2 linked regions of the Oreochromis niloticus genome follow. The protein of the gene in region 1 purifies or fractionates together with the protein of each later gene. This does not show direct contact. Links are inferred from orthologs where the notes say so. Each region holds a gene or a part of one and is shown in the gene's direction. Other genes may lie near its edges.

Region 1 (16,753 bases):
CTCGGGCTGGACTTCATTCGTCTCAGGAAGATGATGTCAGAGTCCAAACTGTACCAGGACGCTGGGCTGTACGGGCCGGATGTTGGCCAGCCGAGAGACCACCACGTAGACTTACTGGACGGGTGAGAGGTCAAAGGTCACCGTACAGAGACAGCTCATGAAAAGTTTCTGCTGTCAACACAAAAGAAAAGTAAACATTTTGGGGAAAAAAAACATTTTACATTTTATTTCATTGAATTTTTTTTCCTTACATGAAATTTTGCGTTACGAATTTTCGAGAACAAGACACATAATAAATAAATGAACTTTTTTACTTTCTTTCTCTCTGTTTTCAGGGATTTTATTCACTCTGCTCCTCCTCTGTCATGAGCTGACAGATTCTTAAGTTTTCAGCTTTTTGAAAAACTCTGATCTGATGTTTTAACGTCTCTCAGATACCAACGATGCAGACAAACCTAAAACTTTTTATTAAAGGGAAGCAGCTGATTTTTGTGCTCTAACCGAGTTACAGAGTCACATGTGAGCTTCAGTCTGCAGGAATAAGACAGAAAACAACTTAATTACTGAGCTGACGCTGCCGATTTATCCATGAATTCTTGTGACTGTTGCAGATTCCTGCAGACCGGAGCTGAGGCCATCGACGCCTGTACCTGGCACCAGTGAGTTCACCCTCACTTTATTTACTCTGAACTGTAATTTCTGAGTTAAGTCTACTCTCACAAGATAATGCATGAAGCGATATTCATGCAGTCACAAGAGACGTGCAACCAAACAGCCTGAAAGCTTCTCCATCTATCAGAGGAAATTAAAAGTTTATGCACGCCTACTGACAGTGAGATACTTTTCCCATGCTTTTATTGTGAAAGTGCAAGTGTTCATACCAATCAGAGACTGTTCAGAACAAATTATTCAGCCGTTGTAACACAAATCCTGTTGCAAGGAAACAGAATGTCAAAGTTATTAAAACTTTCTAATATTTTTAGTCCAACTGACATTCAGTAGATATAAAGTGTCTGTACACTCCCAGGCAACAAGGCCCAAGACAACAAAACCAACATAAATCTGTCTCCAAATGTTTGTCTGAAGTCTCCTAATTTTGAATTTATTAAACCATAAATTCAGGAAATAGTTTTGGACTTATTAAGTTAAAAGTTGGTCATAAAGCATCAACACTTTCTTCAGAAAGTCCAAAATTCTGATTCATAATCAGACAAAAAGAAATTTAAGTGAAGATAAGATTATTATTTATCATCCACACTGACAGTTAGTTTGGGCTTAACAATGCTCACATCATCCACAAACAGCTGAGCACTGGTTGAGACCAGCAGTGGTCCTAAACTCGAGCTCTGAGGACCACCTGATTTAATTTTAAAGGAGCTCAAGTGACACCTCGGCCTGAAACACTGTTCTTTTACTCCTAAGCCTTCATGCTGGTTTATTGTTGTGAATGCTTCATTCATAACTCATAAAATAAACTTGTTCTGCTGTTTGTCAGTTATTACGTGAACGGCAGAGACACGTCTGTGAAAGACTTCCTGGATCCTGAAGTCCTGGACTCACTGGCCTTAAAGACCAATGAAGTTGTGAAGGTAATGCTGTGCTGTGTGCCAGCAGCTCTGTGCTGGGTGTGTTCGCAGTTTCACCGGGTTTGTTTCTTCTCATCTGGCTCAGAAAGTGAAGCTGGCGTCTCCGGGGAAGTCTGTGTGGCTCGGAGAGACAAGCTCGGCGTACGGAGGAGGAGCTGCAGGACTGTCGGACACGTTCGTCGCAGGATTCATGTGAGTCCCTCAGGTCTGCCCTGCTTTAGTCTTCTCTCTGAACATTATGAACGTCATGTTGTATTCAGTCAGACCTGAAACAGAAAGCCATCATGAAGGCATTCAGGCTCAGAAGCCATTTCCTCATAGTCTTCTAGACCTCTGGACCTCGTTGGTGTTTTTCAGACTGATTTTACGATTTTTAATCTGCTGAATGTGTTTTTCTGTGGAGGAACATTGCTGCTCTCATTATCTCTGAAAGACTCTCAAATATCTCTGAGTCGCTGCTGAGCTGTCTCCATGCTGGGAATCTGTGCAGGTGGCTGGATAAATTAGGCCTGGGAGCAGCACTTGGCCTGGATGTCGTGATGAGGCAGGTGCTCATTGGCTCTGGGAGTTACCACCTGGTGGACGACAACCTGGATCCTCTTCCTGTAAGACAGAGTCAGGTTGATTCTCTCAAATATACCAGCTACGCTTTCATGTTTTTTACATGTGCAAAATCATTTTAAGAGTTCCTCCTTCCTACACTCAGATTAGATGTTATTGCTTAATTTTGTCCACTTTGGGACATCAAATGAATTAAAAACATAAACGGACATGTTTAGAACAGGCTCAGTGAGTTCATTAGCTGATCATTTGTCAGAAAATGTATGTTAATCTGTTCAAATCAGGACCTTCACACTCATACTGAGCGTTAACGTGGCTAAAATAAGCTGCTGTTAGTTTATGTGCTCGATGCATTTCATGATCTTCACAGTTTGTCGTTGTCGAGTAAAGGCCGTGTCCTCTTTCAGGATTATTGGCTGTCCGTTCTCTACAAGAGGCTGGTTGGACCGGAGGTTTTAAAGATTCAAGTGTTTTCTGAGTTTGGCCGAAGTAAACGAGTGAGGATGTATCTGCACTGCGCCAACAGGAAGAGGTATGCTTCACATCCTGCCCTCATACAAACACCGAGACCTCCCACCACCAGTAACTCTGCCATCCAGACATCAGGTGGACAGGATTTTCCTCGGCCCGTCCAGTTGCTTATACAGCTGTATAAACAGCTGTTTATCAGCTGTTTATACAGCTGTCTCTGCAGTGGTCTGAAATAGCTAGAAATAGCTAGCTCGAGGTAATGATGTAGTAAAGTATTAGCAGTTAGAAGTAACAGATAAATGGTTAACATCTGCTACAGCTTCCTTCAAGCAATGTCCTGTACAACAAAATAGTTTCACGGAGCTGCTCAGAAAAAGGATTTTTGATTTCATATATTTCTTTATATTTTTACTGTGAACATCAACACCTCTGAAACTGGACTCATGACAAGAAAAGAAAAAGAAAAACTGATTTTAAAGTAAACTGCCCTCTTAAGGAATCAGCTCAGCTTTAAGGTTTATTATTCCTATAAACCAGCAAAAATGTCTGGAAACAGAAACAGAAAAAAGTTCTTAAATCTTAAAATAAGAAAAGATTGAAATTCTTAAAGTGTTAAAACTCCATCTCAAACCTGAATTATTTGTCTTTTACTTCAGCTCAGGAACAAACTTCTTCAAACTAAAAGTATTTATAGGGGGAAAAAAGCTTTTTATTTCTTACTGTGTGCACTGACACCAGGAATATTTTCCTAGAGATTTTCATGTTAACAAAACCTAATTTCTGCGCATGTTTTGCTTCGTGTGAGCAGAAACAAAGCTCATGCTTCGTTCTGTGTAGTTTGAGTTGAAGTGGAAGTCAAGCTGAGTAATAATGCTGCTGTTCTGCGTGTCTGCAGCTACAGACGAGGAGCGGTCACGCTGATGTCAATGAACCTTGGAAAGACGCCAGCGAGGATCTCGGTGCCCGCCGTCTTCTCCAACAGCACAGTGGAGGCTTTTGTCCTGGAGTCTGAGCAGCCGGGGGAGGAGGGACTCTACTCCAGGTGCCTGAACGTACTCAATGAAGCCATTTTCCTCCCAGTTAGAAATCTGCTTCGACCCCAAAGAGGACTGTTGCTTTTCACTAAATATCTCCGGCTCTGCAGAAGTGGAGTGAACCTTAGATAATAAGCCCCGCCCCCATTTTTAGTGAAATGAACACGGTGAAGAAGCAACAGGTCAGAATCTGTAAATGAACACCTGATTCTACCTGAACATCAGGATTGGCCCATTGCAGATGTTTTATGTGCTGATGATACACTGCTCTGTGTGTCAGACGGCTCAAACTCTGCAAGCCGAATAAGACACGTTCAGGTCATTATAGTCGACCTGTTCTGCCTCTCCTCACTTCCTGTCACTTCCTGTCCTGTCTCTGCTCTTCCTGTGGTGGAGGTTCACGATAAAGTTACGAATAATGAGCTCGGTGTGTGTAGTGATGCCCGCAGGCCGCTCCGAACACTCACATTATTACAGTATTTTCTACTCTTTGATCTGAATGATGTCATCTCAGGGACTGAAGCCCCGTCAACTACTGTGTGAGAGGGAGAGCCAAACAGAAGAAAACTGGCGTAAAGCCAGCCTTGTTTCAGACAAGGGCTGAGCTCTGAATCATGCAGAGCTGCTGTGCTGGAGTCAGAAAATAAAAGGATGGAGCTGATGTCTTTTCTCTTTTTAGATTTACATTTTCTGTTTTTGTTCTTATGAATCTGAGTCTCTGAAACATCTGGATCTCCTGAACTCAGTGATGGTGAAACGGTCGAAGCTTAAAAATGAAGAAGAATCCAGCAAACGTTTTGATGCTGAAGAAGCATCAGCTGATCATCCTGCCTCAGCATCCAGTGAAACCTGCAGTTTTTACCATCTGCAGGGACGCTGTCTGTGTTTCAGCTGCGATGGCTGGTAGGTGTAGAAACCTGAACACCAGCTCACATTTCTCTACAGAAGTGAGCCTCAACACTTCCTGAAAGCTACTTTTTAAATCTTTTAAAATTTCATTTTACTCATGAAAGCAAAAACGGGGGCGATAGTGAATCAGACGCTGGCTTCGGTCTTGTGACGCTCAGATTCAGGTGTTTATCGAGTCCTATAAGAGCTGCTGAGGTCGACCTTTTGATGCTGGCTTTTGATCTGTGGCTTTGCTTTGGTTCAGCGTGCCGGACAGAAAGCTGTTGTCATGGCGATTTAACGCCACCTGAGAGCGAATCAGCTGATGCAGACAGCAGCAGGTCGAGGACAGATGCTGTTGATGTGTAACTCTCTCTCAGGCTTTTATCTCAGCTGTGCTGACGGAGGACAAACAATGGCCTCATAGTTCGGGCTGAGCGGTGTGCTTCAAAAGAGTTCAAAGGTCACCGCCGTGAGTCAAAACCGGTCAGCATGAGTCGACAGTCTGACTCCAGTCCACCCCTCCACAGCACCTCAGCTGCTGGGGGTTTTCTGAGAACAGCTACATAAAAATCAAAAGCTTTACCTGATTTAACCGACCATTCCCAAACTAGCCCCATCCTAAATCCTCCTCTTATGGTGTTATGATCTGACTCATAAGCTGTGGTGGAAAATGATACATCCATAAACCCGAGGAAGGGTAACTAGGCCGATGACACCCCGCACTGCTGCAGCCAAACCAGAAGGGGGCGCACAGGAGCCTAACACCTGAAGTTCATAAACAGGATGAGTTATGCAGAAATGGGCAAAGATTAATATCTCAGTAATCTTTGTGTTTGACTCGCTGTGTGGCGGTTAGTTTGATGAGCTCATTTCCTGTTTCTGCAGGTCAGTGAAGCTGAACAGCGAGGTGTTGATGATGGTGGACGATAAAACGCTGCCTGAACTCAGAGGAAAACTTCTCCTGCCAGCTCACCACCTGCAGCTTCCTGCCTACTCGCTTGCCTTCTTCGTCCTCCCGGATGCCCAAGCTCCAGCGTGCAGTTGATGACATCACACGGAGAGCAGATCCTCCCTGGACACCAGCGTAGGCTGCTGTTTCCTCACACCGTGGACGCCTCAGTGTCTGATTTTTAGACAGTACTGTCACTTTCTGATAATGTGTTTATTGATTCTCACTCATGATCAAACATCTCCATCTGTCTCTCCACCCACTCGTCAGTCACAGAGGCCACGCCCCTAATAATGTGAGCTTTAAGGTCAATGGGGATGATGGATATGGAACAATATGGAATAAGATAATTAAATGTTTTTTATAACAATTTTCAGAAACCAAAAATATTTTTGATACGACCGTGTTTCAGGGTGTCACCTGTGAGGACGTCTCAATGATCTAATTAATTAAAAAGCACAATGCTGACGCCACCTCTTCGCCATCATCGTCGTCAGCAGGCTCGAGCACGTCCTCCTGATGCTGCAGCTTCACGTTATCATGACAGCAAATGTGTTAGAGTTTAAGCAGCGGAGACAGTGCTGTCACCATCAGGTCAGACTGGGAAGTGCAGTAGTGTCCTCCATCATCTTTATCCAGTCTGTTCATAAAAACTTCAGTAAAACTAAAAAAAGTTTTTTAAACTTTAACCAGATATATATATATATATATATATATTTTTATACCAGATATTTTACACTGAAAATATAAGTGTGTAATAGTTATATATATCTATAAATTTCAGTGTGAACTCTGCTAATTAAATCTTTATTTCATTAAATCTTTCTGTTCTCTGCTGATTTTAAACTGGACTCTGTAATAAAACTAGTGAACCGGTGCCGGACGCTCTCAGTGTGAGTGTGACGCCCTGCTCTGAGACCTTCAGCTTATTAAAGGACACCAGATTCAGAGTTTGATCTTTGAACTTTTATTTGATGCCAGATAAAGACAAACATCACATTTCCTTTTTCATTCGTCCTGCTCCTCGCTGTGAGTGATGATGTAACACAGGGATTTGTAGTCCAGGTTTCCGGTGGCGTTGATGTTTGATGACTGAAACATCTGCTTCATCTACAGACACACAGGTATCGATGTTACGCCTGTCACAAAACATTTCCAAAGTGAGCCCTTTTCATTTTTACACTTTCATTCGCTCAGTGTTTTCACTTCCTATCACGGGCTGAATAAGGAGACATTCGAGTGAGAACTCATTGGTCTTTGTGGATGAAGCCTTTGGCGTCGGGATCAAACATTTTGATGCTCGCGGCAGGTCGGTGCCTGCAGCGAACACAATGTCAGGAAATTTCCTCACAGTGAAGAGATGATCCTCCATCAGGGCTTTCACACCATTACAGGACACACAGGAAGCTCAGACGATGGAGGCCATGAAACTAAAAGCTCACTGTTATTTCATAATGAATCAGTAGAACCTTCTTTAAGAAAAAGTTCTTCAGAGCTTAATTAAAGCTGTTTGATTGCTGTGATCTAGAATATTATGAAGAACATGTGAAGAACAAAGCTGCAGGATTGTTAGAAAATGATTCTACTACAGCAGGAATCACGGTCAGAAGGAGGACCTGGTATCAAAGGAGACTTTAAGAGTTTAAACCAAATGATGAGAAAGCAGATCAAAACCTCTGCTGCACCAACGGTTTGTGGAAAAATCCTGCTGAACAGAAACCAGGTTCTGTTTAGACTGTGGCTCTACGAGTGGGAGTAAAACTGATCTGGGTTCAGTTTCTAGCAGAGCGGGAAAAGAGTTTAATGTGGAGATCTCAGTTATGAAGCCAAATCTGGAAACCAAAACTATATTATAGTAGATACACAGTAGTATAATTCTGTGCTGTATTGTAGATGGTATAGAGAAGTGTAACTTTATTATACTACTGTTTACCATCTACATCTACTGTTTACAGTGTATTAACTGTATTACACAGAGTAATCAGGTTTGCTCTGTTAGGTCTCTGAGCGTTTAGCTTCATTGATAACATTTCAAATTGTGAAATGATTTTATTTTCAGTTTCAGGCCAAAAAACTCATCAAACACTGTGATGAAACTGACGTGACTTCCAGCCCTGGACAGACTGAGAGCTATTCACAGCTCTGTGTAATAATTCAATAAGACATGTTTTATTTATCCCAGCGTCCCAGCGTGAAGCATCCAGAGCTCAGTTTTTAAAACCAGTGAACCGGTGCCGGACGCTCTCAATGTGAGTGTGAAGCTCAGGATCACCTGAGACGTCCTGCTCTGAGACCTTCCGCTCATTAAAGGACGTCACCTGCAGTGACCACACGGAGGCGCTGTGGTGTTTGGCTTCAGCTCTGTGCTGCGCAAAATCCATCCAGCACGTGACGTCAGAAAACCAGCTGGTCTCTTCATCATCATCGTGAGGAAAATAAGACCGTGCTGCAGAGCAGGTGCCGAACTTAATTTTAAAAATCCAACAATTTTAAATGTTTTTATCCAACAACAGGTGACAGTGAAGCACACGTGGCTCTTTGTGACGTATTTCAGATCAGCTGAGTGTGCTATCATATTTAGCGTGTAACGGGATGTAATGCCCAGCACTTTTAAGTATTACTGTGAGTGCGTTTAAAACAGACACTTCTTTGTTTCTCGCTTTATTTTATTGAAATGAGAATGAAAACTTTAAACTTTGAAAACGAAGTTTAGAATAAACACCAAGAAACATAGAAAACTTTCAGAAAACCATTCTTTAGAGTTCACCGTTTGTTAAAGACTAATATTACCTTTGTCACAATGAAACGGGGCTTTTTAAGGATGATATTTTTCTTCGTAAACAGTGTATTTTAAATGTAATTAAACATTTTTTCAAGACAGTGTCAGAGAAACTTACTCCTTATTTTATTTTACGCTTATTTTAATGATTTTTTTCCTTTTTTTCATTTGTTTATTTTTTAATTTTATCCCAAAGACATTGCATTTTAATTTATTTTGCCCCACAGACATTGTTTATTTAATATTATTTTTGACTCTAACTTTTTTATTTTCCGTAGTGTGTTTATTATTTAATTATATTTCTTATATTTTTCTGTAGGGTGTATTTTTTATTAATATATTTGTAATTTTTAATTCGTATTTTTATTAGAGATTATTATTATTATTTTCCGTACATTGTGTATTTTTTTATTTATTTATTTATTCACACCGTAGACCGCAGTGTTTTTACTTATTTTTATTTTTGCAGTTATTTTCCATTGACAGTGCGGTGCACGCGCTGAGCGGGCTCTGAAGGAGACGCATTCATACCGCTTTAATACTACATTACCCACAACCCCCCGCCCGCGCAGAGCCATGTTGTAGGAAATCCGCTTGCGGCGGATTATTGTAATCCGACAGAGGGTCTGGGCGACACATCGGATCACGACAGGAAAAAACTGAAGCGCAGCGGCCTGGAACAGATGCACCTCGTCCGAGAATAACGGGATAAAGCCGAGACATGATCCGCCGCGCTGCTCGGTGCTGCTGAAGCCAGAGATCGGCGCTGCTGCCCGGGCCGCTTCCTGCCTGGACCGCGGGTCGGCATCACCGCACCGCAGAGAGGAGTAGGGCAGAGCGGAGAGGCTCCGGTTTGTCGGTGAAACGGACGCCCTCGCTCCCTCTTCCCTACCCCGGTCAGGTCTGACTCCAGCTCGGCTCGGCTCGGTTGCTCTGTACGCGGAGGGACGCGCTGCCGCCGCCGCTCCCAGCCACACCACCAGCTAGCGCGGCTAGCTCGCTCCAGCTAGCCTGCTAGCTCGTCAGGAAGAATCGGTCCAGTTTAGTTCGGAATTTCTCCTGTTTTCCGGCCCGCAGCCCGCAGGGAGGGAGCATGTCGGCCAAAGACCAGAGCAAACTCTCCACCACGGAGCGGCCCGTCAAAGGTACGTGACTGTCCGGCTTTACAGGGGGTTCCCGGGGCAGGAAGTTAACGGGTGTCGGTGCTAATGGCTTCGCTAAATGTGAGCAGCTGGATGTCAGAGCCGCAGTTAGCGGTGACTTCTCCCCGAGCTGCCCGCTTTAACGCCTCTTCCATCAGGCAGGGGGAAACAGGCAGTCCGGCCAATCAATCAGCCCGCTAATCGATGCCGCGGCAGCTAATAACTTAGCCTTTTAGCTTAGCAGCCCGGAGCTCCAGATGTTGGGTGTGCGGTATGACAGCCCGCCGTCAAGCCGCGCTCGATGCTTAGGTTCACGCGGAAAGTCCACACGACGCCCCGGACACCTGGATCCTGTCCGCGGGTATACACCGCCCCGTGTACGGCAGGTAGCTGGCCTCGTGTGGGTGCAGGGGGTGAATAAACTGGCCTCGTCAACCCCCCGCCCCCAGTCTGCCCCGCTGTGTGTGTTTATGGAAAATTAGTTTGAAATTGAGGTTTGTGTGGAGTACTCAGCCACGTCCTGCTGCTGCGGTTTTTCCTCTGCGGTGTTCAGAGCTCTCAGAGAGGCAGCAGCTGGTGCTTCACCGCTCTGCAGAACAAACACCCCCGAGACCAGCCCGTCCGAGCCCGGAGGCAGTCTCCTGCTCAGCATCACAGGCTCTCCGAACCCCAGCACACACACCCCACATTTAATTTCACAAATTATTATTTAGTTATGCTATAATTGTGGAGATTTCACAGTGTATAACCACATTATTATCATTATTATTATTATTGATATTATTGTTATCATCATCATTATTATCAACCAGGAAAAAACATTAATAATATTAAAATGGTCGTTGATAGAGTCTGGCTTTACTTCTGCTTTTATTTTATTTTTGGAGTTTTTGATGCCACCTTAAAAAGGTGTTATTGCCCACTTTAGCCATCAATGAAATTATCCTGTTAGATTTAAACAGAACTTTCCATCTGCAGAAGGCCCATGAGTCTGAGAGACACCGCTCCTCACCAACATCTACTGTGTTATAAGACCTGCTTATTACACATTAGATGAATAAAATTATTAAGTTCAATGTCGTTATCATTTCTTCATGATGAAACAGGAAGTAATGAAGCTATTAGGAGTCGTGTCTCCAAACGGGCGGTGTTGGGTTGTGAACTCTGGTTCCTGTTGAATCACTGAAGCCTAAAATAACTTCCTGCTTCTCCGAGCATCAATGAATTTGAGAGTTTTTAGCGAGTTTTAGACTCGACTGTTAGGCCGGCTAATGTATGCTGATTGATCAGGAGCACTGCACAGATGGGCCATCGCTGGAGCCCATTTTGGTGGTTGCTGGAGAATAAAACAGCTTTCTCTCTGAGTCGCTGTGGTGTCGGGTGAAGCAGCAGGTGGGGTCATGTTTGATATGCTCACCGGGTTTGAGAAGCTTAGGAGGGCCACTGGTCATTACACAGACCTCCTTAACGCCGGTGCCGCCGCTCAGGAAGCCGGCACAGCCGGCTCTGATTGGATTTACCTGCTCAGAATCACCTTTGATTGTTTATCTGGGAACACCAACACAACAACTCTTCCAGGAATTCCTGGATGGATTTCCAGATCCACTCCAAGAGTTTATCAGTTAGTTTTTGACAAGCCCAGAACCTTATCCTTCTGATAAGCAGCCCTGAGCACTCAGCCTCACTGTTGGTTTTTCTCTGATGACGACCTGGTTGCTGTTTGGTTTGGGAATGGTCAGAGAGAACAGCTCCTACTTGGATTCTGGGAATTTTCTTTGGGATATTTCCACGTGTTGTTTGCAGCCCTGAATCAGCTCGATTGAATTATGTAATTACTTCAGGCTGAGCAGCGTGCTGCTGATGGCTGGAGTTCATCACAGCAGCCCACTCTGCAGCTTCCTGTTGAACCCTGTGTGTGTTTGTGTGCGCACGCACGTGCATGTGTGTTCTGGCCTTTTGGCTTAGTTACCGATGGTAATCGAATCAGTCGGGCCGTCTGCCTCGCTCGGCATGTGTAATGATTCTGTCCTCATTCATGATTGATGGAGCCGGGCCGGAGGATGCAGCAGGATTGCTCTGCTGTCCTGGCCCCTGTGATGGAGCTCCACCCTGGACCCCGTCCACTCCACCCACAAAGAATCGGGTCAGCACAGTCTCCAAAGCCTGTAATCTTGTGGTTATTCTATCCAACAAAAAAGGAAGGAAAATGCTGATCTGTTAAGGTGGTATGAGATTTTTTGGGGTGGGCCCAAGTACGGAGCGCCGTCCGGTGCCTGTCCCGCTCAGGGGTACACGCCGACCCTCACCCTGCACGTTCGGGTGTTGTGTAATCAAAAGGGTGCACATCTGCAGCACTTTAAGGGTCACATGATGTTAGACAGGTATTTACGGTGTGATTCGAGCTCAGTATGAGTCTTTACGTTAGTTTCTCCTTTCGCTGCTCTTAGCCTTGCTGTGGGTGCACCTCCTCACACGCAGAGTGGAGCAGAGGGAGGATGGGAAGGAGGCGGTAACCATCCAGGTGATGACAGAGCTGCTCCTCAGGTGTGACGCAGAAGCTAACAGGCGATAGTGTTTGACCTCGGTTTGTGGTAGATGCTTGAAGTCTGCAGAGGTGTTCAAGTATGAACTCGAGGCAAGACTGAAAGTAACACACACGGCAGGTTATTAACAGTAATGTGAAGCTGGCAGCCCGACCTGCTATAACTTGTGTGGATGAGTCAGTTTGGGTTATTCTGCTGTTGGGGGTTCATTCCTGAGCAGTTCCTTTTCTCTGTCGGTCACGTTAACGTTGCTCGTTATCGATGGCTGCGTCGGCTGCAGGAAGCTGTGAGTGCATATATATTCAAACAAGATGAAAATGAGCTCCTTATCTAACGAGTTCTCATTCTCGTCTGTGCAGATGTTTGCACGGCGGACTTAATGTGAGGCTCAGACTGAAGCCTTAGCTGTGATGGTTTGGCCTCAGACCAGTCCATAGACACCACTGACACACCCCACCCCACCCCACCCCACCCCACCCCCATAAAGAGGGGGGGGGGAGGGGGTCTTCCATGTTTGGCATGTGGGCTTCAGTCCTTGGGTTCTGTCGTTGCCCCTGCTTGTGTATAAGTAAAGTTTGTTTGCACTCGGGTCTGATTCTGTGTGTCCTGCTGGTGTTTGCTCGCTAGCGGCACAGACAGAAACAAGCGGCCGTCTGTGCTGGGCCGGCTTGCTGCTTTGCTTATGTTTGACTGGCGGGTAGCCGCGTGGCTTCAACAGCAAACAAAGCGCGGGCCGGCGGCGGCTGAGTTTACTAAACGTCTGAGCAGTTTCACTCTTCCTGTGTCCCTCCTGCTGATGGTTATTTGAATACCACTTCCTGCAGCGGTCGGCAACGCCTCCTTTTCACAATCGTGGTTTTGTTTTTCTCTCTCTCTCTTCACACACTCCACTCTCACTTCTGAGTTGTCAGGCAGATAAATTTGTCTGGTGGGGACTCGCAGCTGCTTTTACTTCGATGAACCAGTTCACAAGGAGCTGCGACGTGATTGGCTGAACACGTGCGGCCTGGTTTGGTTTCAGAGCTGCGTGCTGAACTAGAGCGCCGTGCCAGGAGTGAGTGTTCAGGAATATTCAGTGTCTGCGTGATTGCTCCCGTCTTCTTAGAACTTCCTCTCGATGCAGAGCTCGCATCACCATGTTTATGTCACCGCAGCAGTCAGGTGACCAAACAGCCTCTGACCTCACAGCAGGTGAAGCGGGCGGTCGGAGCCGGTGTGGCGGGGAAAGGTGATAAAAACACAAAATACGTGTTTGTGACGAATCACAGCGCACACTGACCCGCCTCTCTGACCGCACCGTCACTGAGTTCATGTAGACAGACAGGTGATTCCAGGTCATAAATGTATCACATGACCTGGACCGTGCAGGTGAGAGCAGACAGTCATGTCATGTGTCCTTCTCCTCCTGCTTTTATGTATTTTTCATCTTTAACTGTGATTCTGATTTCTGCTGCAGTGCAGCTGCTCGGGCTCAGCTGCTTAATAACAGCTGTTACAGCTGCGGTTTTACAGCGTTGGTCCAAACACCTTTAACCGCGTCATCACAGTGAAGGAAGGTTAGTAACCGTGAGTGTAGAAGCTCGGCCCTGCCTGCTGGACTCTGTGAGCAGCGACGGGTTTTCTTGAAATAAGCTGCTTGGTATTTCCTGCAGGGCTGGGCCGTGCCGCCACACTCTGCTGCTTTGTGTTCAGGACGAGCCTCGACACGCCGAGGACACCTTGCCGACACTGATCTGCCTGTGGGCCTGCGTGGTTGGCTCTGAGGTGTGACCTGATTACGGTTGGATTTGAAGTCAGTGGGCTTGCTCTCTGTGAACAAAGCCGCTGGTACCCGGGTGATCTCAGGTGTGCTGCAGAGGCACGTCGTGACCTCGCTGATGATAAGAGCATTCCTAACGAGGCGTTATCTGAGCATGGGAATGTTACAGCACAAAAACAGCCAGAAAACACCCGAACAGCAGACCAACCTTTATTAAAGATTACAGCAAGCGATCACCTTTCAGCAGGACAGGAATACGAAACAGTTCAATATCATTAAATATCATCATTAAAAAGTAACAATTCTGTCCCTGAACGCAGCATGGAGCCCATTTAAAGTAAAGGGTGAATGTTTTGTCTGTTCTGTATGAGGTCACAGTGTAACCGTGTCCCTTCTCTCTTTCATCTCTCTGCAGCTGTGCCGTATCCTCCTGGAGACCGCCTGACGGTCAAAGAGCTGTACGTGGACGGGAGGCCCAGTTTGGAGGTGCTCAAGGCCCATCTGGTAAAGGAAGGTCGGCTGGAGGAGGAGTCGGCCCTGCGAATCATCAACGAGGGTGCCGCCATCCTCCGGCAGGAGAAATGCATGCTTGAGGTGGAAGCCCCCATCACAGGTAAACCCTCGCCTTGACCCCGCCCACTCGGTATGTCAGCGACGTGCAGAGACATTTAAAGATGTCAGCTGAGAATTTATCGCCAGCATGTTTTCCTCTTTGTTAGTGATGAAAGAACACTGTCTGCTACCGCTAATGTTACAGCTCCATGCTTTGGACTGGAGCTTTGCATGAGTGACAGCTCATAATCATCCTCCTCTCAGCTCAGCCTGTGTCTGAAAGCAGGTGTGGTAATGCTGAGCTTGTTGTGTTTGTATGTGCAGTGTGCGGAGACGTCCACGGTCAGTTCTTCGACCTGATGAAGCTCTTCGAGGTGGGTGGGTCCCCCAGCACCACCCGTTACCTGTTCCTCGGGGACTACGTAGACCGAGGCTACTTCAGCATCGAGGTGCGTGTCTGTAACTTCCTCGGCACAGGAAAGAATTGTCGTTTGTGCTTCTTTGTTGCCTTTTTATACTTTTTGTGCTCTTGATTTGTGTCTCTTTTTCATTATTTTTTGTTTTTTTGGGTCACTTTGTATGTCTTCGGGTTGTTTTCTTCTTTTTTTGCTCTTGTTTTCTGTCTTTCTGTAGTTTTTGTGCTTGTCTTGAATCTTTTTTGGGTTGTTTTGTGGGTAACAGTTGGCAGTTGGGGGCTTTCTCTTGTTTATTTGTTGGCTCCTGCGTCCTTATACCCATCCAGGTTTGCTGTGCGTCGTCAGCCTTGCGTGTTGTAGGAGTGTGCACGGAGCTCGGAGTAGTCTTGTTTATTGTGTTGGAGTTGTCAGGATGTGTTGGTGCAGAAATCCTGGCGTGACATTTGGAGACTCGGCCCGCGCGGCTCTGCAGGGCATCTTTAAATAGTCATGGGTAATAAAAGGCACACTGTTTGCCCCCTCGCCGCCCTGACTGCCACACCCACTCATCCACACAAACACACCCTGCTAGACACACACACTTACACAAACACACACACTCAAACTCCAGCTGCGCCCCATCAGAGGGAGGACCGGGCGTCTTCTGGCATGGAGCTGCTGGCATTTGTATGGCTGCCGTCGTGCTTCCTTGTTTGGGATTAGTGGACATCCTGGAGCTGCTCCTCCTCCTCCTCCTCGGCTCTGTCTGGACCTCAGAGACGCCATGTGTCATCATCCTGTTTCAAAGTCACACTCAGTTTGCAACAGCAGATGCTTGGCTGAACTCTGTTAGTTTAGAGGTCATTTGTCTTCATAAAGACTCGTTTTCCAGACGACTCAACAGCCGCAGACCGAACGGCGTGCTGCGTGTCCCGACTCTGAGTCACGGCTGAATCAGCTGATTGCTCTGATGTCTTTTGTGTTTTTTGACCTTTTCAGACATTTAATTGGGCAGAAAAAGCCTCTCAGAAGTTTTAACTGTAGCTCAAATCTGAGTGTTTAGTCATACCACATGATCATGGCAGCACCACAGGCTTCAGTTCCTGTGACGTCCAGCACGGGCAGCAGTGAGTCGGTCTCTGTGTTAAAACGTTGCAGCACAAATAAACATGTTTGCAGAGTGATGCACAAACTGTTTGCTCGCTGGAGAAAAGACAGTTTTGCAGATTATCCATAAACTCAGAGGAATCTCATTTACTGCTAAAAATCTTCACTTTTTAGCCACAAACCAGAAAATCTTGAGGATAATTCCTCAATTTTTAAAATTAATTTAATCAGTTTGAGGTCGTCTCCTGTCTCTTTGAGGTTGTCTTGTTTGACTTCGTCTTGCTGTTTTCCTGCTGTTCTCTCCAGTCTCATGTTTAAAAGGCTGAATGGTGAAGCGTGCCGCTGCTCTTTTACTAACAAAGGGAACACGAGCGTAAAGTCACCCATGTCTGACACAAGCCGTGGCTTTACCAGCGCCATGAAGTTACATAATCCAGTGTAGAAAGGACAGCGTGCACGCAGCCCGACTCCAGCGCTCGTTATTCTTCTCGTCTTCCTCTGAGCTCGGCTCAGTTGAACAGCTCGACGCCTTCAGAGCAGAAAAAACATTAAATTGAAACAGGTGGTGCACAAAAACACAGGAGGAGTGAGTGGCAGCTGAAAGGATCCGTGGGTTTGTTTGGAGGTTGAGGATGACGTCCGTCAGCTGCCGGTTTACCGCATGTCGGTGCTTCAGCAGCTCTTTCCCTGATGGAGATGAAGGTTTCTCCATGATGCTCGTATTCCCTCTGCACCGAGAGTTTCTGCTCGAGGACTGTCGGCCCCAGCCTGTAGCGATCAATAATGGCATCGACTAATCCCCCATAATTAATGAATCTGTCAGAGTCGGTAAACAGCGGCGGATCATCCCGCAGCGTCGGGCTGCTGTTAGTCATCTCACAGCCGTCCTGCAGACCTGTGTCTCCGCCGGCCTCCGCCTTCAGTCATGGCGGTGAACCGGGAATGATAATCCAACGTTATCATCCTGATTATTATGTCACATTT
Region 2 (16,637 bases), on another chromosome or scaffold:
GGCAACACTGGCCTGAACAGGCAACTGTGTGAACAAACACTGTGAATACTGAAACAGTGTGTGTGCAATGTGCTGGGCCAAGAACAGGCTCGATCTCCCAAAACTATATTGAAATATTTAAACTCTGTAAAAGCAGAGACATTTCTTACAGCACATTTACTGATAAAACTGAAGACTTGGAAAGTTTTCAGTGAACTCTGAGCACTAGCAGTCACACGCCACCATCTATCAGTGAAGGCTGAATATTAGAAGAGCTTAGAAATGGGGAACATTTAAGCACTTTTTCCTCTACATTTATTACACATTTTTATCCAGTACAACTAGAAATAATCTTATTCTATATATAGAAATATGACTTTTTTTAATTATTCAAAGAGTTTTTATTTAATTCAGCATGCTGTATTAACGTGGAGTCACTCCTCTTCCTATGGTGAAATGTGGTGGAGCTCCACCGGTCATGGCTCTCTTTGCGTATCAGGGTTTTAATAGTTTTGCAATTTTCATTAGTTTTTATTTTTATTTAGTTTTGACTTCAGATTTTCAATTTTATATCAGTTTTAATTAGTTTTTACCAATTGTTTGCTAGTTTAGTTTAGTTTTTATTTTTTTGAAAATCCTTAGTTTCAGTTTAGTTTTGATTAGTTTCAGTTATAGTTTTAGTTGTGTTTGCAATAATTAAGTGTAACAAAATCCCAGTTTCATCATATCAGTCATGCTCTTCTGCTTATCCTTGGGTATGTTGCTATTCCAGCTACCATACCCTGCACCCTGGACAGGTCGCCTGACTGTCGCAGGACTAACACGCAGAGACAGACAACTCACGTTGCCACCTATGGGTTCTTTAAATAAATAAATAAAGGCAGACGAACAACCGTTGATACCAGGCAACTATAAAATGTATATCTTGGCCCCAATGAGACTATTAACTCTTGCAGCACCGGGTGTTAAGGCAATTGACTCACACAGTTATGTAGATATCCCAGTCCTGTTGTCTCGGGATGCATCACGCTGCCTTGCCTGGGGTTAGCTTCTGTTTCTGGGGATGAGGGTTGGGCGTGCTCCCTTACCTTCTCCAGGTAAGCTAGGTTAGCCTTCTTGTGTGAGCTTTTCAAGTGCACTTTAAGGTTTGTGGGATTTTTTTCCCTTTAGAAATGTCCCTCATAATTTGTCTCTTTCCACTACAAGACACTTGCTTTATCCAAAACACAGTCATATTCAAAGTAATCCCAAATTGGAAGCTGGTGCTTTCTCCAGACTTTTCCTGACATGATTCTGCGCGTGGACGGAGCAGCAACACAGACGACTCGACTAACGTACTGCCACCTGCTGGCAAGAAAAAAACCTGGAAACTAAACTTCATTTTCACCCTTGACTATTGTATGACACGCACATATCAACGAAAACTAAACGCATTTTCGCTATAAATCCAGTTAATTTTAGTTAGTTTTGTGAACACTCATTACAGTTTTAGTTAGTTTTCCTTTTTTTGTTTTTATTTTTATTTCCGTTAACGAAAATGTTTTTTCACTTCTAGTTTTCGTTATTTCGTTAGTTTTAGTTAACGATAATAACCTTGTTGCGTACTCACACAAAGTTGAGCACTCAGCTTATTGAACTAATTCAGCTGTTCTGGAACAGTCAGAGTTTGTTTAACATACTGATGAAGCTGCTACAGCCTCAAAGTTTCAGGCACCAGTGACACTACATGTGAGTAACAAGTTATAGACACCAGTGACATCTCCACACACTTTACTGAGCAGGTATCACCTGAGCTGCTGTCACAGCCTTCATGGTCTCTGTTACCCTCTCTGCTGCACTGCAAACATTGGTCTGGATTTGACCAAGATGGCGCCGGTGTGTGTGTGCCGTCTGTCACTGCCAGTGTTGTGTTTGTTTGTGCTCAGTTCTAGGCCCCCTCCTCTTCTCTTTATATCTGCTTCCTCTTGGTTCTGTACTGAGAAAGCACGGCATTGCTTTCCACTTTTATGCTGCTGACTGTCAGATCTATGTCCCTCTACAGAACAAAGGCTCATATTCCACACAGCCATTACTACTCGATAACATTAAGGCTTGGATGTTTCTTAACTTTTTAAAATTCAGTGATAAACAGACTGAGGTGATGGTGTTTGGTAGCCCCACTGAGACTCCCAGTGTGTATTTAGATACCTTGGCCCAGTATAATGAGCCAGCTGTCACAAACCTGGGGGTCAAAGTGGACTGTGATGTGAAGTCATCTACAGAGGATGCAAAATGCCGCAGCTCGTCTAAAGTTTGACCACATTTCCCCTATTTTAGCTTCACTTCACTGGCTGCCCATTTCTTTTAGGATTCATTTTAAAATTCTTTTATTTGCTTTTAAAGCTCTCCATGGTCTCGCCCCATCTTATCTCTCTGAGCTGCTACAGCCTTATACACCCACCCGCTCTCTCAGGTCAGCTGATCAGCTGCTCCTGATTGTGCTTATGCTGTAGCAGCTCCAATGTTGGTTTATTTTATTTTATTTTATTTTATTTTATTTAGTTAATTCTATGTTGTTTTATGTTGTTGGGTTTTTAAAAAAATATAAGGCTGTTTTAAGTATTATGTGTTTTATTTTATTAAATTGTTCTTAACTAATTTCCTGTACAGCACTTTGATCGTGTGCTGGCTATTTTAAAATGCTTTAAAAATAAAATTGGATTGGGGTACACAAATTGACTGTATTTTTTGAAGTACATGAAATTTCAATAAATTACACTGACAGTGAATTAGTATGTTTAATGCTAAAGTAAAATACCATGGAAAAGTCAGGATCCTTTTTGTACCACATAAAAAGATTGTAAAAACACATCTAAGCATAAATTCTACTTAATACGACAAATGCATTCATAACATATGAGGCAGTGAAATATTAACAATAAAGGACGTTTGGTCTCTGTGTAGATTTGTTTGTTAATTAACTGATATGTTGTGTAATTAAGGAAGTTTTCACAGCATAAATGGTAATAATGGTGTAACATGGAAAATTATTAAAAGCTATAATTATGCTAATTTCACTGATGGTTTAGTAGCTTATAAAATTGCTTACCAAAAACATAATAATAACAAATAATAAGATAAATGCATATTCTTTATGACTGAGGTATTTACTGTTGCAGATTCTGGAAGACTTACAAAGAGTGTGGAATTTTTCACATACTTGTTTTTTACACAAGTATTTAGAAGCATCGAATATTTTACAATAATTTAAAAAACAATCAAATAATATATTTTTATAACATAGGTCTCATATTTGTCAAAATGATTTTCTAAGTCAGGACAGCTTGAAGTTTTTTTGTCATATTTTATGGAGCCAGGACTCTGATCTTGATGTTAAAGAAGTCATCTTCAGGTTTGTATCACGTTCAAACACTGACTCAGAGTTCACTGTGCACAGACGGAGGCCTGATGGTGAGCTGGATGGGCCTCTAAAGAAAACAAAAAGTCTTTGATATATGAAGCTAACATTTCATAACGTTTTATCATTGTCTTTATTAGTTTTATCTGTGTTTCTTGTTCCCCACATTCCTAATTCTTTTGTGTATTCTTAATTTTCAGATTTTCTCTTGTACTAAAGTCCTCCCTGTTCTCAGAAGAACTTTATTTTCTCTGCTTATTTTCTGCTCTGTGCACTTTCACTTTGCTGTATCATGAACTCCTCCATAGAGCCTAATTCATTATTCATTATGACAAACATGCTCTTTGTAAATCCCCACTATGATAATAGTAATAACTATCCGTCTGGCATTCATCACAGTCTGTTACCACCAAAGGAAGCATGGAAGAGTTATAGACATGCAGTGTCGTGTGTGCATAAAGTGATTACCTTGACATACAGGGAGATTTCATAGGGCTGGTTCTCCAGTGTTTTACTGTCCACAGGGACCACAGGACTGTCCACTCTCCTGTCGGAGGTCAACTTGATCTCTTCCATCGTCTCTGCAGTCATCGCCTCTCGCTGAGGGACATATGAGCAACCATGTTCCAGCAGCACCACTCTCTTTTTCTTCACCTGCTCGTCTTTCTTTTTGGGCAGGGATTCATCTTTGATAACTGACTTCAGCTCTTTTATCCAATCCTCCTTCCTCGGTGAACTGATCTTTTCTGCTGACGTTTCTTTATCCACCCATTCTTTCCTTCCCCGCTCGTTCTCCCAAAACTCTTTTTTGATGTGCCTCAGCTCTTTACTCCAGTCCTTCCTTTCAGTAGCAGTCTTCTCTTCTTCTGGTTGATCTATTTTAATCCAGTCTCTATCTTTTCTCCTGGGTGACAGCACTTTTGCTTTCCCCAGTTCATCTTTCCTAAGACCTTGTGGCTCAGGACACAAGAACCCGTTCTCCATTGTTTGCTTCAGTGTTTTAATGCTCCCATTTAGATGTGCCTCTGCCTCACTGTTGTGCACTTTTAGCTTGACGTCCTGTGTCTCCATGTCCTCTTTACCCAGTATGGCCTTGTCTCCTGGCAGCACTTGATGCTCTTCATCTTTTATCTTGTCTATGGCATCATCAGAACCGCTCATAATGGTGAAAGGATGTACTTCTTCCGTTTTTTTACTGGGCGTCTCCTCCATCATTTCAGTCTCATCATCTAGAACGGTGACTGGCTCTTCTGCCATCTCCACTTCTCCTTCCATTGACTCTTCTACTGCTCTTCCTCCAGTCTCAAATTCTACAAGCATCTCTGTCTGTGGGAGTTCTTTTGTGTTGTTTCTCCAAATTGTGTCTGCTTCTTTCAAGAGCTGCAAAGGATGCTCTTGTAAAGCACTTCCCCCTTCTGTTGTGGATTCATTTTTCTCTGATTTGTCCTCTCCTTCAGACCCGTCAAGCTTCACCTTGATGCCTTTCTCAGATAGAGAAGCTTCCTCCACCTGGTCCTGTGTGTCTGTATGTACCTCTTCTCCAGTCTGGCCCACTGGTTCTGGAGGAACTGTTATAGCTTCGATTTCAAGCTTAGCAGCTTTTTCTTCTTGCATTTCTAGATCATTTCTTGTTCTGTGCTCTTCTTGGCCCATTAACTCTCCAGCAACATTACTGGCTATCGTCTCCTCCATTTCTGAACTCTTTCCTCCCCCGTCCATCTCTGCCAAGTTGTTACCTTGCTCTTCTGCTTGCTCCTTCTGGGTGACGTCTTCAGTCCTTTTTGCTTTAGTGTCTCCATCTGACTGTGGCTGTTCTTCAGAAGTTAGGGCCATCAGCTCTGGTTCTTGTGCCGTTTGATTGGTTCCTGCTCTCACGGGGAACTCATAGCCAGGATATACACCCTCCAGGACTCCCTGGCATTGCCATGTAAGATTATCAATAACAACCTCCTGTTTTATGGATTCTGAGGGATCTTCTCCATCATTGTTTTTTATTTCATTTTGACTCTCAACATCTAATTGGTAGGTTTGATTGGCCACCTCTTCAGCTGTAGCAATTCTATCGACTGGTATGTCATCAGTGCCAAGAGCTGAAGCTTGGATGCTGGCCTGTTCATTTATCCCAGTAGAAAAAGGAGCCACTTCTATGTTCAGATTAACCTCTGTTATGTTGCCAGCAGTGGGCAAAGTAGCAGTTTCTGTTTCGTCTTGGTCACCAGTACATGACTTTGTACCCACTCCTGACTCCCACACAGAAGTACCTCTGTCCTGAAGACAGGACACATGATCGTCGGTGCCTTCGTCCATGTCTTCCTGCCTTACATCTGTTCCTGCACTTGCTGTTACTCCCCCTTGTTTGTTTTCTTCAGTTTCCCCATCCTTTTCATCATCTCCATTGCTGTTTAATATTTGCTGTTTCCCTCGTTCAACCACAACCAATAGAGGAGAAAGAGATAGATTTTCAGCCATCTTTGTATCTTCAGATTCTTTGTCTGTTGTCAGTGTGGCTGTTATTTCTTGATGTCCATCTCCCGCTCCCATTTCTCCATTCCCCTCTTCTTCCAGTACTTCACATTCATCCTCCCCCTCTCCTATTTCTCCATCTGATAACAGGGTCACTTGTGTAATCTCTCCTTTCTGCCAATCATTCTCTTCTTTACTTTCATCTTCAATTTGTTCTGCTTCAGCAACCATCAAAACATCTTCCCCAACCTCCTCTGCTAGTTCCACCTCATCATCATCATCTTCTTCTTCTTCTGTGTCGTCTTTGATTCTGTGTGTATCCAGGTCTGAACACAAACCTTGTGGGCTGTGGACAATGGCTCCATTTGGCAGGTCTGGATTTTGGCTATAACTTAATTGAGCCATTAGGAAAATAACACAACTTATTTAGAAAGAAATGATGGTGTCCAAGTTTCCAGGATAAATGTGCAGCTTTATAACATGTAAAATTTGTGAAAATGATCCGGCGTTCTAGAAAAGTTCAAAGATGGGGATGAAGAGTAAAACTTACAGTCCCAGTTTTAAGCTTGTATCCCGAGGTTCCAAATTTCCAAAGTAAAGTAAGGAGAAAAATCCAGATTTCCCCTGAAAGATGGTTATAGGGCTCTCTCATCAGTACTGTGCCTTAGGCACCGTTCCACATCAATAAGTACGTTTCGCCTCCTCGCTTTCTTCTCTCTCTCTTTCTCTCTCACTCTAAGGGATTAAACCAAGGCTGATCCCACATGATCACAAGCTTAAACTCTGCCACCCAGAGACCAGTACCATTTGATCTGGAGTTTCTTAACACATTCAACGACACATCACAGCTACATCTATGAAACATAGCCTCTAGTAGATAGACAAAGCCATATATACAACATCTAATAAACTTCTGTTTTATTTGTACAGTGCAGGTTCACCAGAACTATTTTACTGAAGCACTCTCAGCCCAGTTTACTACATGAATGTGTTTAAATGCTGTGTTCATTTTGTCATACTATCAGTGATTTTTCTTCTTAGTATCTTTAATAGATGATATTAAGATATCAAGGAAACTTGAATAAGTCCAGACACTTTTCTTTCCAAGCTCCTTAGACTACGACGACCTGGACGACTGAGAAGCTTCACAGACATGTGAAACAGAAAAATGTTTTTGTTTTAATTCAGCTGAAACAAATATAAGAAAAAGTGTGTTCTTTTTGAGTAAGAAGGTTAGAGAACTAAGAGGCCTAAAGATATACAGACCCTTTCCAAAAAATTTGAATATCACAGAAAAGTTTATTTATTTCCATAATTCCATTCAAAACGTTAAACTATCATACATTATAGATTCAGGGCCCACAACTTAAACGATTTCAAGTATTTAGTTGTTTATTTAAGTACATAATTTGGGTTTCCAGCTTATAAAACCTACAAAAACAGGATTTCAAAAAATTAGAATACTGTCAAGACATCAGCTCAAATTTTACAGGGCATGAATGTTTTAAACTGAGTGTCACACACAACTCATCTACTAAACTCAAAGCACCTGCACAGGTTTTCCCAGGTGTCATTAAATTGCTTCAGTTTGGTTCAATTGTCTCTGTTAAGTTCAATATGGGCAAGACTGCAGACTTGACAACTGGCCTGAAGAGCATCATTGGTACCCTCCATAGGATGGGTAAGCCACAAAAGTTCATAGCTAGGGAGGCTGGCTGTTCACAGAGTGATGTGTCCAAGCATATCAATGGAAAGTCTAGTGGAAGGGCAAAATGTGGCAGGAGAAGATGCACCAGCAGAAGAGATGACTGTGGCCTTCAGCGGATTACCAGACAGAAGATTCAAAAATCTGGCAGATATCCAGAAAGAGTGGGATGAGGCAGGAGTCACAGCTTCAAAACCACTTCTGAGCCTGAGCCAACGTCGGAAGCAACTCCATTGGGCCAAGGAGAAGATGGACTGGACTGTTGACCAGTGGTCAAAGGTCCTCTTTTCCGATGAAAGTAAAGTGTGCTTTTCATTCGGGAATCAAGGTCCAAGTGTTTGGAGGAAGATGGGTGAGGAACAGAACCCAAGCTGCTTGAGGTCCAGTGTGAAATATCCACAGTCAGTCATGATTTGGGGTGCAATGTCCAGTGCAGGTGTTGGTAAACTCTGCTTTCTTAAATCCAAGGTCACCGCAACAGTCTACCAGAATGTTTTGGAGGGCTTCATGATTCCTTCTGCTGAGGATCTGTATGGAGATGCAGATTTCATCTTTCAGCAGGACCTGGCCCCTGCCCATACCGCCAGAAGCACCAAAACCTGGTTTGATGGCCATGCCATCACAGGGCTTGACTGGCCAGCCAACTTGGCGAACCTAAACCCCATTGAGAATCTATAGGGTATCAAGAGGAAAATGAGGTCCACCAGACCCAAAAACAATGAAGAGCTGACAGCAAGTATCAAGGAAATCTGGGCTTCCATAACTCCCAGGCAGTGCCACAGGCTGATTGCCTCAATGCCACAGCGCATCGAAGCAGTGACTAACGCGAAGGGATTCCCAACCAAGTATTGAAGATTGACATATCATTTTGAAAGTACCACATTTTGATTGACTTGATGTGATCCTAATTTCTTTCTTCTTCTTTTTTCCTGCAAAAACTGAGAACTAAATGGTGATGTCTTGACAGTATTCTAGTTTTTTGAAATCCTATTTTTGAGGGTTTTATGAGCTGGAAGCCCAAATTATGTACAAATAAAAAACTAAGTACATGAAATCGTTTAAGTTGTGGGCCCTGAATCTATAATCTAAGAAAGTTTAACGTTTTGAATGGAATTATGGAAATAAATAAACTTTTCCATGATATTCTAATTTTTTGGAAAGGGTCTGTATACGAAGTTAGCCAAGAAAGAGTATAAAGCTTTGGATTTTTGGCAGTTCATTTTGATTGTAGATGAACTTGAAGAGATGGTGTAACAAAAAGCAAGTCACTCATTAAGATATAAGCAGACAGTCAAGAACCAGCTGAGTTTTGTTTGTGAAACTCTTTCAGTCATCAGTTAAAGGTAAAAACATCATGCAGTAAGACAATGAGAAGGGTAAACAAAGACATCTGTTAATAAAGGAAACAAGTGATGGAGGGAAGTCTGAAGGGTAGCAGGAATTAATAAAGAAATAGCAAAAGGTTTGGCATGATGATATAAAAGTTCGACTTTTACATGTAATACAAAGGCGAGCAGGCGAGAAACAGGGTCCATGAACAGAGTGATAACAGGAAAAAACAGATGAGATGACTATAGGGAACCAACATGTGACTGAGTGTGGAGGTAAGTCATCGGACCGCTAAATAACGTGAGAGGGCAGTAACGCACCGGGAAAGGATGTAGACTGCCGCGAAGGCCCGGCGAAAAAGAAAACCCGGAAATGCTTCCGCTGTTCCGTGTAGCTGCAGGTAGCTGGAAGTACAGCTGATATCAGACAGTAGTTCGGGTTTGAGAGCACAGTGAGGAGCCAGCGGCTGCCTGAAGGCACACACAGAAAGGACATCGCTGCTAACACCGGTGGGTAAACAGCGCAGCGACGCCTTTGTCATAATAATATGTTTTAACCACGAAAAATAGCTTCATGTCCTGGGTTAGGCACGCGGCATATCAAAGCACTGATAGGTGTAGAGTCAGGCAGCAATCAGCATGTGTCGGTACTGACGGAAGGCTGTCGATGTTTCCAGATATTTGGGTGATGCAGCAGGCGGATAATGGCGGCGAGGAGGAGGCGGCCCCGGTAGATGTTCAGTTCACGGATTTACCGGACGCCCTGGTGGCCTGCAAAGTGGCGGAGGATTTATTCAACGAGGAAAGGCTTAAGGTAAGCTGTCAGGCACTGGCCTGTGTGCGGCTAAACAGTGTTTACATCATATATGAACGTGAAACATGAACCAATAGCTTTGGTGCTTTTGTGTAGTGTAGTTCATTAGAGACAGTTCTTTGTTTTTAAAGCAAAATATGGAATTATCTGATAGTATGACAGAAAGAAACACACACGGTTACCTAGGAGATAAACTTGAATCTATGGAGCACAGTAGCCTTAAAGGAGAAAGATGTGTGTGCAGGAGAGCCACAGGTTTATGTGGTTTCATCACTCCATCTGGTGGCAGATGGATTACTATCATCGATACATGAAAATCAGTTAATTAGCTCCATTAAAGACTAGTGACGGCTATAGTCACGCCCCTAAACTGATTGTGCTGGAAAACGTCTCTGGGACCTTGGAGTCCTCGGGTTTGTAGTCTGTTTGCTAGCTTTAGTCAGAAAAGAAGGTCCAGTTGGGTTCAGACCCAAAATGCTCCTGGATTAAACCGAAAAGTCAGAGTGTTCATTGATGTCACACAGGGGAACATGGCTAAAATGAAAGACGTCATGGATGGTCTCCTACATTTCCTGCAGCTTCTTGGGGGAAGGAGGTGAGCAGGTTAAGAGGTGGTTCTGTCACCAAGGCAAATCCCAAATCAGTGAGCATTTCCATGGACTCCCCATCCTGTAAATCAGAAATGTTACTGCATTAATATTTGATGGCCATAATGAAAATAAAACCAGCAGAATCATTCTGAGGGAGGCAGGGGGTATTCAGTCCCAGTGGACATGTGCTGTATGGAAAAACAGATTTGTGCTGGTGAAGCCAGGACTGTGTGATACTAATAATTTGTGCAGTTACTTCACTTTCACCTTTGGGAGCAGTTTCTCCTGTGGATGCTGGGTGCAGCAATGTGCAGCAGTTGGTGAGAGACTCAGTTGAGTAACAAGACAAACATCAAAAACTTCTCTTTGGATGTTTGATGCTCATCTAACAGCCACCAAGGTCAACTTGTTTTTGTTGTTTCCTGTAGTCCACTATCGCCTCCTTTGTTTCACTGATGTTGCGAGAGAGGTTGTTGTCCTAGCACCAGTTGTTCGGTCCCTTCACATCCACTCTGTAGACTGTGTCATTGTCGCCCGTGGTGGTCATATCATCTGTGCTACATCTGTACTGTACTGTGTTTGTGATGAGCGAGGAGTTAGTGTGTTTTCCAACTCTGACTATCATGTTGAATGCTGAGCTGTAGTCAGCTAAGGGCATTCACACATATATGTTCCCTTTTTCCAGGTGGGCAGGGCAGTGTGTGTGGCCAAAGCAATGGCAACATCTGTGGCTCGGTTTCTTCTGTAGGCAAATTGGACCAGCGTGTAAGGGAGGTAGACTGGATGTGTAGTCTAACCATCTGCTGACGTTGTGATGACTGATGTTAGTGCAACAGGGCAGTAGTCATTTAGACAGACCACTTGTTTCTTGGCGATGGGAATAATGGTGGACGCCTTGAAGGGAGATGTTGAAGATATTGGCGAACACATTTGCCAGCTGGTCACACGTGCTCTGAGAGCATGACCAGGAATGCTTTCTGTAGGGCTGCTCGATTATGGCAAAAATGATAATCACGATTATTTTCACTGAAATTGAGATCTCGATTATTTGACGATATTTATTTAACAATAACAATGTATTGAATAATGGCTTTAAAGATTGTCAAAAAATAATGTAAAATAGTGTGCAAATACTGATTACAGTGCAAATGTTTGCAATATAAAAAATAAATGAAAAATGTAAACATCTATGTTTAGTGAACTTCAAAATACTGCACAATATTTGATCCACGTCTGACTCCGCGAACCCATAATGTTTCCACCAATGTTCCCTCAAATATTTCATGTGTCTGAGCGAACACACAAACTCCCTGAGCGTCCCTTGGACCACTGTGAGCGACATCAGACGTGTGCACTGTGGTCACGCCAGCATCTAATCCATCCAAGTTACATGGTTTATTAAAATAATCAAATTACAGCATTTACATTTATGTTAGACTACTTTTAAACTGCTTTAGCCCACTTACAATGAAAATGTAAAAAATCCTGTTCATGACCCGTGTAGGATGTTAACACTATTGGAAGTAAAAATAACTTGAACTCCAATTTTGAAAACACAACTTTCTTTCTTTTCTTTTTTTTTCCATAAAGCTCTGACTTGTATTATGAGTCTGTGGTCTGGGAGAGAGTCTGTAACTCTGTCTGCAAAATACAGCATATAATGACCAATGTTGGGCAATTAATTATATAGTTACTACTTCAAAAAAGTAACTCAGTTTGGCAAACAACAAAGTTTTTTGCAGCTATTTTTTTTTTTTAATGCAGCCAAGACGTTTTTAAATAAACATTTCAAACTATTTACAGAACAATCAGCTGTTCTGCATCAAATCTGATGCCACACAAATTATTTGTGCCACTCCAAAAAATAATTTCTGTCCACTATGAGATAAAGGAGAACAACAGCCTGATACCTGCAGGCCTGACAACAGGAGATGTATCACTGCTGTAACACCTGTAACACTCAGCAGCCGCCTCATTGTTCTGACACACACAACAAAACTATTGACTACACTACACACTAACTACACACTAACTACACACTAACTACACAAGATTTATGCTAAACGTCTCAAATCTCTCACATCTCAGAACACCGCCCTCACTCCTAAAACTTCCCCCCGTTTCTTAACAACTAGATGCCACGTTGCCATATCATTTTTTGATTGGTCGACACGGTACTTTTTTCGACCAATAGGAAAGGGTGGGGGTGTTTTGGTGTTGTTTTTGCTCACAGGCTTTCGAGCGTTTTCCTTATAAAACGCAGTTTTTACCGTTTCTTCCCGCAGTAAATATAAACAACGACAGTATTCAGGAAGAAAACCAAACATTGCAGATATTTTTATCATAACTCTGGTTTTACGTGGCCGATCAACACAATTTTTTTTTCTTTTTTCTCTTCTTTTTTTTTCTTTTTTTTTTCTCTCTTTTCTCAGGATTACTTACTAATGCATATAGTTTGAGCAGATCAACACAATTTAAAAACTGGTATAAAGTCCACACTTTGTCCGTCAGTTGTTCCGTCTGTCCTGCTCACATCTCCAATGGTTGGACACGTTGTCATTAACGTGGCTTCACTGCACATCAGCCACGCCGCTTTGCTAGCTAAAACACCGGTGTCGGCACATAAGGACGCTGTCATAGCCTGTCAGCGACGTTGATTGGCTGCGTATATACGAATGTGAATCGCATTATTGGCTGGACTATAGGATAAGGTGGCATCGTTCTAATCCCATACAGGAGCAGCCAGTCACTGACTAACACTGCAAAACAGAATTGTTAAAGTTTTAATTTTAATTTCAATTCAGGTTAGATTTTTTTTTGTGCGCAACGCAGATTTTCTGTGCGCAGAGACCGTGCCAGCAGTGCGCAACTGCACAGATGCGCAGCTTAGAGGGAACATTGGTTCCCACACCACTGAAGTCGTTTTACCTCTTTTCAACCAACGGCATTCTTTCTTCAGCAGCCATTATCCTCTCCTCTCCAAATAACTTCTGCTTAGCTTTCCGAGCTTCCCTCGGGTCCTCTTTATTGTTGTGACGCGTGTTCGAAACGCAGAGAGGTGCGCTCGATTTGCCACACGGAGCAGCGCGAGAGTAAAGCACGAGGGAGGTGCTAATAATCGGCTCAGTCATTTTTAATGATCATTGAAAACCCAGATCGTAATCGAGATTAAAATTCGATTAATTGAGCAGCCCTAGCTTTCTGGTCCTGGAGCTTTATATAGGTTGACCTTTTTGAAGGCCATTGTGGCAGCCTCACTCCCCACTAGAGGACATGAAACTGTGTTGGAGTGAGCATAGAGGGTGTTTAGCTTGTCTGGGAGAGATGTGACAGACTGAACACTGACTAATAAAAGAAAAACCAGGTCAGTGATACAGCATAGTCATAATTGCTTGGGGTCAGAAGAGCGGTAAGTGGACTCCTGTGGACTTTGTCCTGGTAGTCCCACTTGGCCTTGGTTATGACCTCAACACTGATCACTACAAAGTGGGAAAATACTTCCAACAGGCACCTAATCTGAGCTTATTCAGTTAGGTTTTAGGAGTTTTAAGCGTTCTAGCCATTTTTAATGAAATGGCTTCTTATATAGGACTTTATATATGCTTTATATAGCACTGAAATTTGATATAGCGCTGATTAAACTTATTCTATTCAGACATTCTTATAGATGCTAATCTGAAAGTGCTGCTGAGTAGGGCTGCACGATTAATCGTTAGAAAATCGCGATCTCGATTCATACTTATGTGCGATCTCGTTTCCAAATCACAACGATTTTAAAAAAAAAAAGAAAAAAAAAAAAAGACGACGACGACGATTGTACCGCATTTTGATCCGGGACGTAATCTGCATGAAAACAAGCGCTCACTCTTCCTGCTCAACAAATGACAAGGGCGGAGCCTTATACCACGTGATACAGAAGCTGTGCCGTGTGATGCTCAAATTGGCAGGAAAAACAACGGAGAACACGAGAAAGTGACAGGAGAAAATCCGTCCTGGTCAACCACCCAAACATCAATAACGGGAACCTTCGTGCCTTGGAGAAGAAGTTTTCCTACGCCTCCTTCGATCTTTTTACTAGCGGAGTTGACCTGTACAGTAAGCTAGTTGCCAGCTACGAGCCAGTCACGAAACCTTCAAGTAACTGCCAGAGGTTTCCTTACTACGGTTCGGAGCCGCGGATCTGGTGCGGTAACACTATACCCGTCGAACTCCCGCAGGCACAAAGAAATTACGGAGGCTATCACTTATCACCTGACCAAAGATATGGCTCCCATCAACACTGTGCAAAACGAGGGATTTAGGAAAATGATCAACACCCTAGACAAACGCTACACAGTGCCGTCCCGCAACTATTTTTCTATTGTTGCACTACCTGCTCTATACACGCAGTGTCGAGCAACGGTGGAGACGGAATTTCAAGCAGCACAACATTTTGCGGCAACGACAAAATGTGAGACATTTATTGTTTTTATGTTCAGTCTCAACTGTTACAAAGTTGATGTGCAGTTAATAAGTGGAATAAATATTTATATTGGAAAAGAAAATCGTGAGAGAATCGTGATCTCAATTCTAAGCAAAAAAATCGTGATTCTCATTTTATGCAAAATCGTGCCGCCCTACTGCTGAGCCTGTACTTTGGTCAGCTCGTCTGCTTTATTTTACTGGACCTGCCCTCTTTCCATCATGCTGTTGTTAATGTAATGTAAAGAAGTCATTCACTCTTTCAAAGCTCAATATTCTCTACATTTCATGCTTTGCCTCTCCAAAACGTGAAATAGACATGCATGCAGAAGTTGCATTACTGCATGCAATAATTACATTACCAGCAAGGGGGAGATAATATATTTAAAGCCAGGAAGTCAGTAGTGAGCAAGTATGAAGTGCATTCCACGGTCCATATTCCTTAGAAAAGCTTAAGCTAGGCAGCTAATATGTATGTACATGCAAATGTTTTAATAATGTCTGTTTAAACACATGCCAGCATTAAATGGATTTGAAAATGTTTCTAGGGCAAACACTACCTAGGCTGCTTTTGTAGTTTTGCTTTTACTGTGGTGTATACTGTGTCAGGCTGAACAGGGAGGGGAGCGACACCCTAATCCCATTGTGGAGTTCACCAGGAACAAGAGAAATGTGACAAAATACATGGAAGATCAAAAAATACTGCAAAAGCAGCCCTAAAGGTTCTCAAGGTAAAGTCATGGTAAGATGCACTGGTTCTTAAACAGCGCTTTACACAACTTGCCTCAGTCACGGGTTTCTATGCTCTTTGTCTGTAAGTGCTTCTTATCTAACATTCATGTGCGTTCACACTGCATCACATAGCTACTCAGGGTTAGTATCTTGCCCGAGGATATTTGGCATGCAGACTTCAGCACACGGTGATCGAACCATCAACCTTCCGATTAGTAGGTGATCTGCGCTACCACCCCACCTAAAGAATTAGGGTATTCTTCAAAGACAAGAAGCTCAACCCAATGGAGCACACGTTTCACCTATTAGATACAAAAATGAATGCAGAAACACCCAAAACATAAATAGTCTAGCCAGTTTCTCGTTTGGCTCTCAGTGAAGGCGGTCACACTTTTCCTCCTCCTCTCCTCTCCCTTAGCTTCCCTGCTTAGCCTCTTGTGTCCTTGTCTAGTCTGGTGTTTTTTGTATTACTTTTCCCTGGAACACTCTCTCACAGTCTGTTCTCTAAAACCTAAAAGAGAATTATGGATTTGATCAACTGGTCCCTGATTGCTATTGACACCCTTTCTCAACGAGAAGTCTGGGCTCGGGTGAGCCTGAGTGCTGAAGATATCTACCTATTCGGAACCATGATAACAGGGTTCTTGCTGATCGGAGCTGGCTTGGCCCTGACTTATCGAAGAATTAAGGAAGTAGAACTGGCTGTTCAAACCCCCACAAGGCTGCCCGCTGGGATTGAAACGATGGGACGAGGCGTAAGTTTCTCAAAATGGGCTCATTGAGTGCAGCACTGATAAGATCTTAGAAAGGCTTACGGCTGCCGTGAATACTCAGAATAAGATCTCTGAGTGCAAACTGGATTACATCTCGGAAGGGCTCGCTTGGCATAACATCTCTGAGCGTAAATTGGATGACATCTCGGGGAGGCACACTGTCGTGAGTTCTCAGAATCGGCTCTTTGACCACAAGAAATGACAACACCACGGAGCGTAAGTTTGGATAACATCATGGAGAAGCTCGCGGCTCTCCAACGGGAGATTGAGAGACCAGTGTCGGACTGTTAGAACAGCTTTGAAATTCATATGAGCTGTTCGCACTAAAGTAAAAACCACCATCACTCATGCGGAGACCACTTCGGCGCCAGCTGCGGTCTCAAGGCTGGAGCTGA

The links.
Region 2: the proteins of ppp3ccb (region 1) and rcan1b purify together in Homo sapiens (affinity purification with mass spectrometry; 3 studies listed by BioGRID and IntAct, counting the BioPlex papers as one, with this or other methods). This does not show direct contact. The link is inferred for Oreochromis niloticus from reciprocal best matches to the Homo sapiens genes PPP3CC and RCAN1.

What each region holds. Positions count from the first base shown.
Region 1 is NC_031972.2:37,314,794-37,331,546, forward strand, and holds the start of ppp3ccb (protein phosphatase 3, catalytic subunit, gamma isozyme, b), read left to right. Parts: upstream 1-8,830; 5' UTR 8,831-9,364; coding exon 9,365-9,416; intron 9,417-14,130; coding exon 14,131-14,328; intron 14,329-14,591; coding exon 14,592-14,716; intron 14,717-16,753. UniProt on the Homo sapiens protein: Calcium-dependent, calmodulin-stimulated protein phosphatase which plays an essential role in the transduction of intracellular Ca(2+)-mediated signals. Dephosphorylates and activates transcription factor NFATC1.
Region 2 is NC_031986.2:3,816,875-3,833,511, forward strand, and holds the start of rcan1b (calcipressin-1), read left to right. Parts: upstream 1-9,220; 5' UTR 9,221-9,382; intron 9,383-9,549; 5' UTR 9,550-9,560; coding exon 9,561-9,686; intron 9,687-16,637. Other genes in the region: chloride intracellular channel protein 6, read right to left, coding at 3,845-6,244. UniProt on the Homo sapiens protein: Inhibits calcineurin-dependent transcriptional responses by binding to the catalytic domain of calcineurin A. Could play a role during central nervous system development.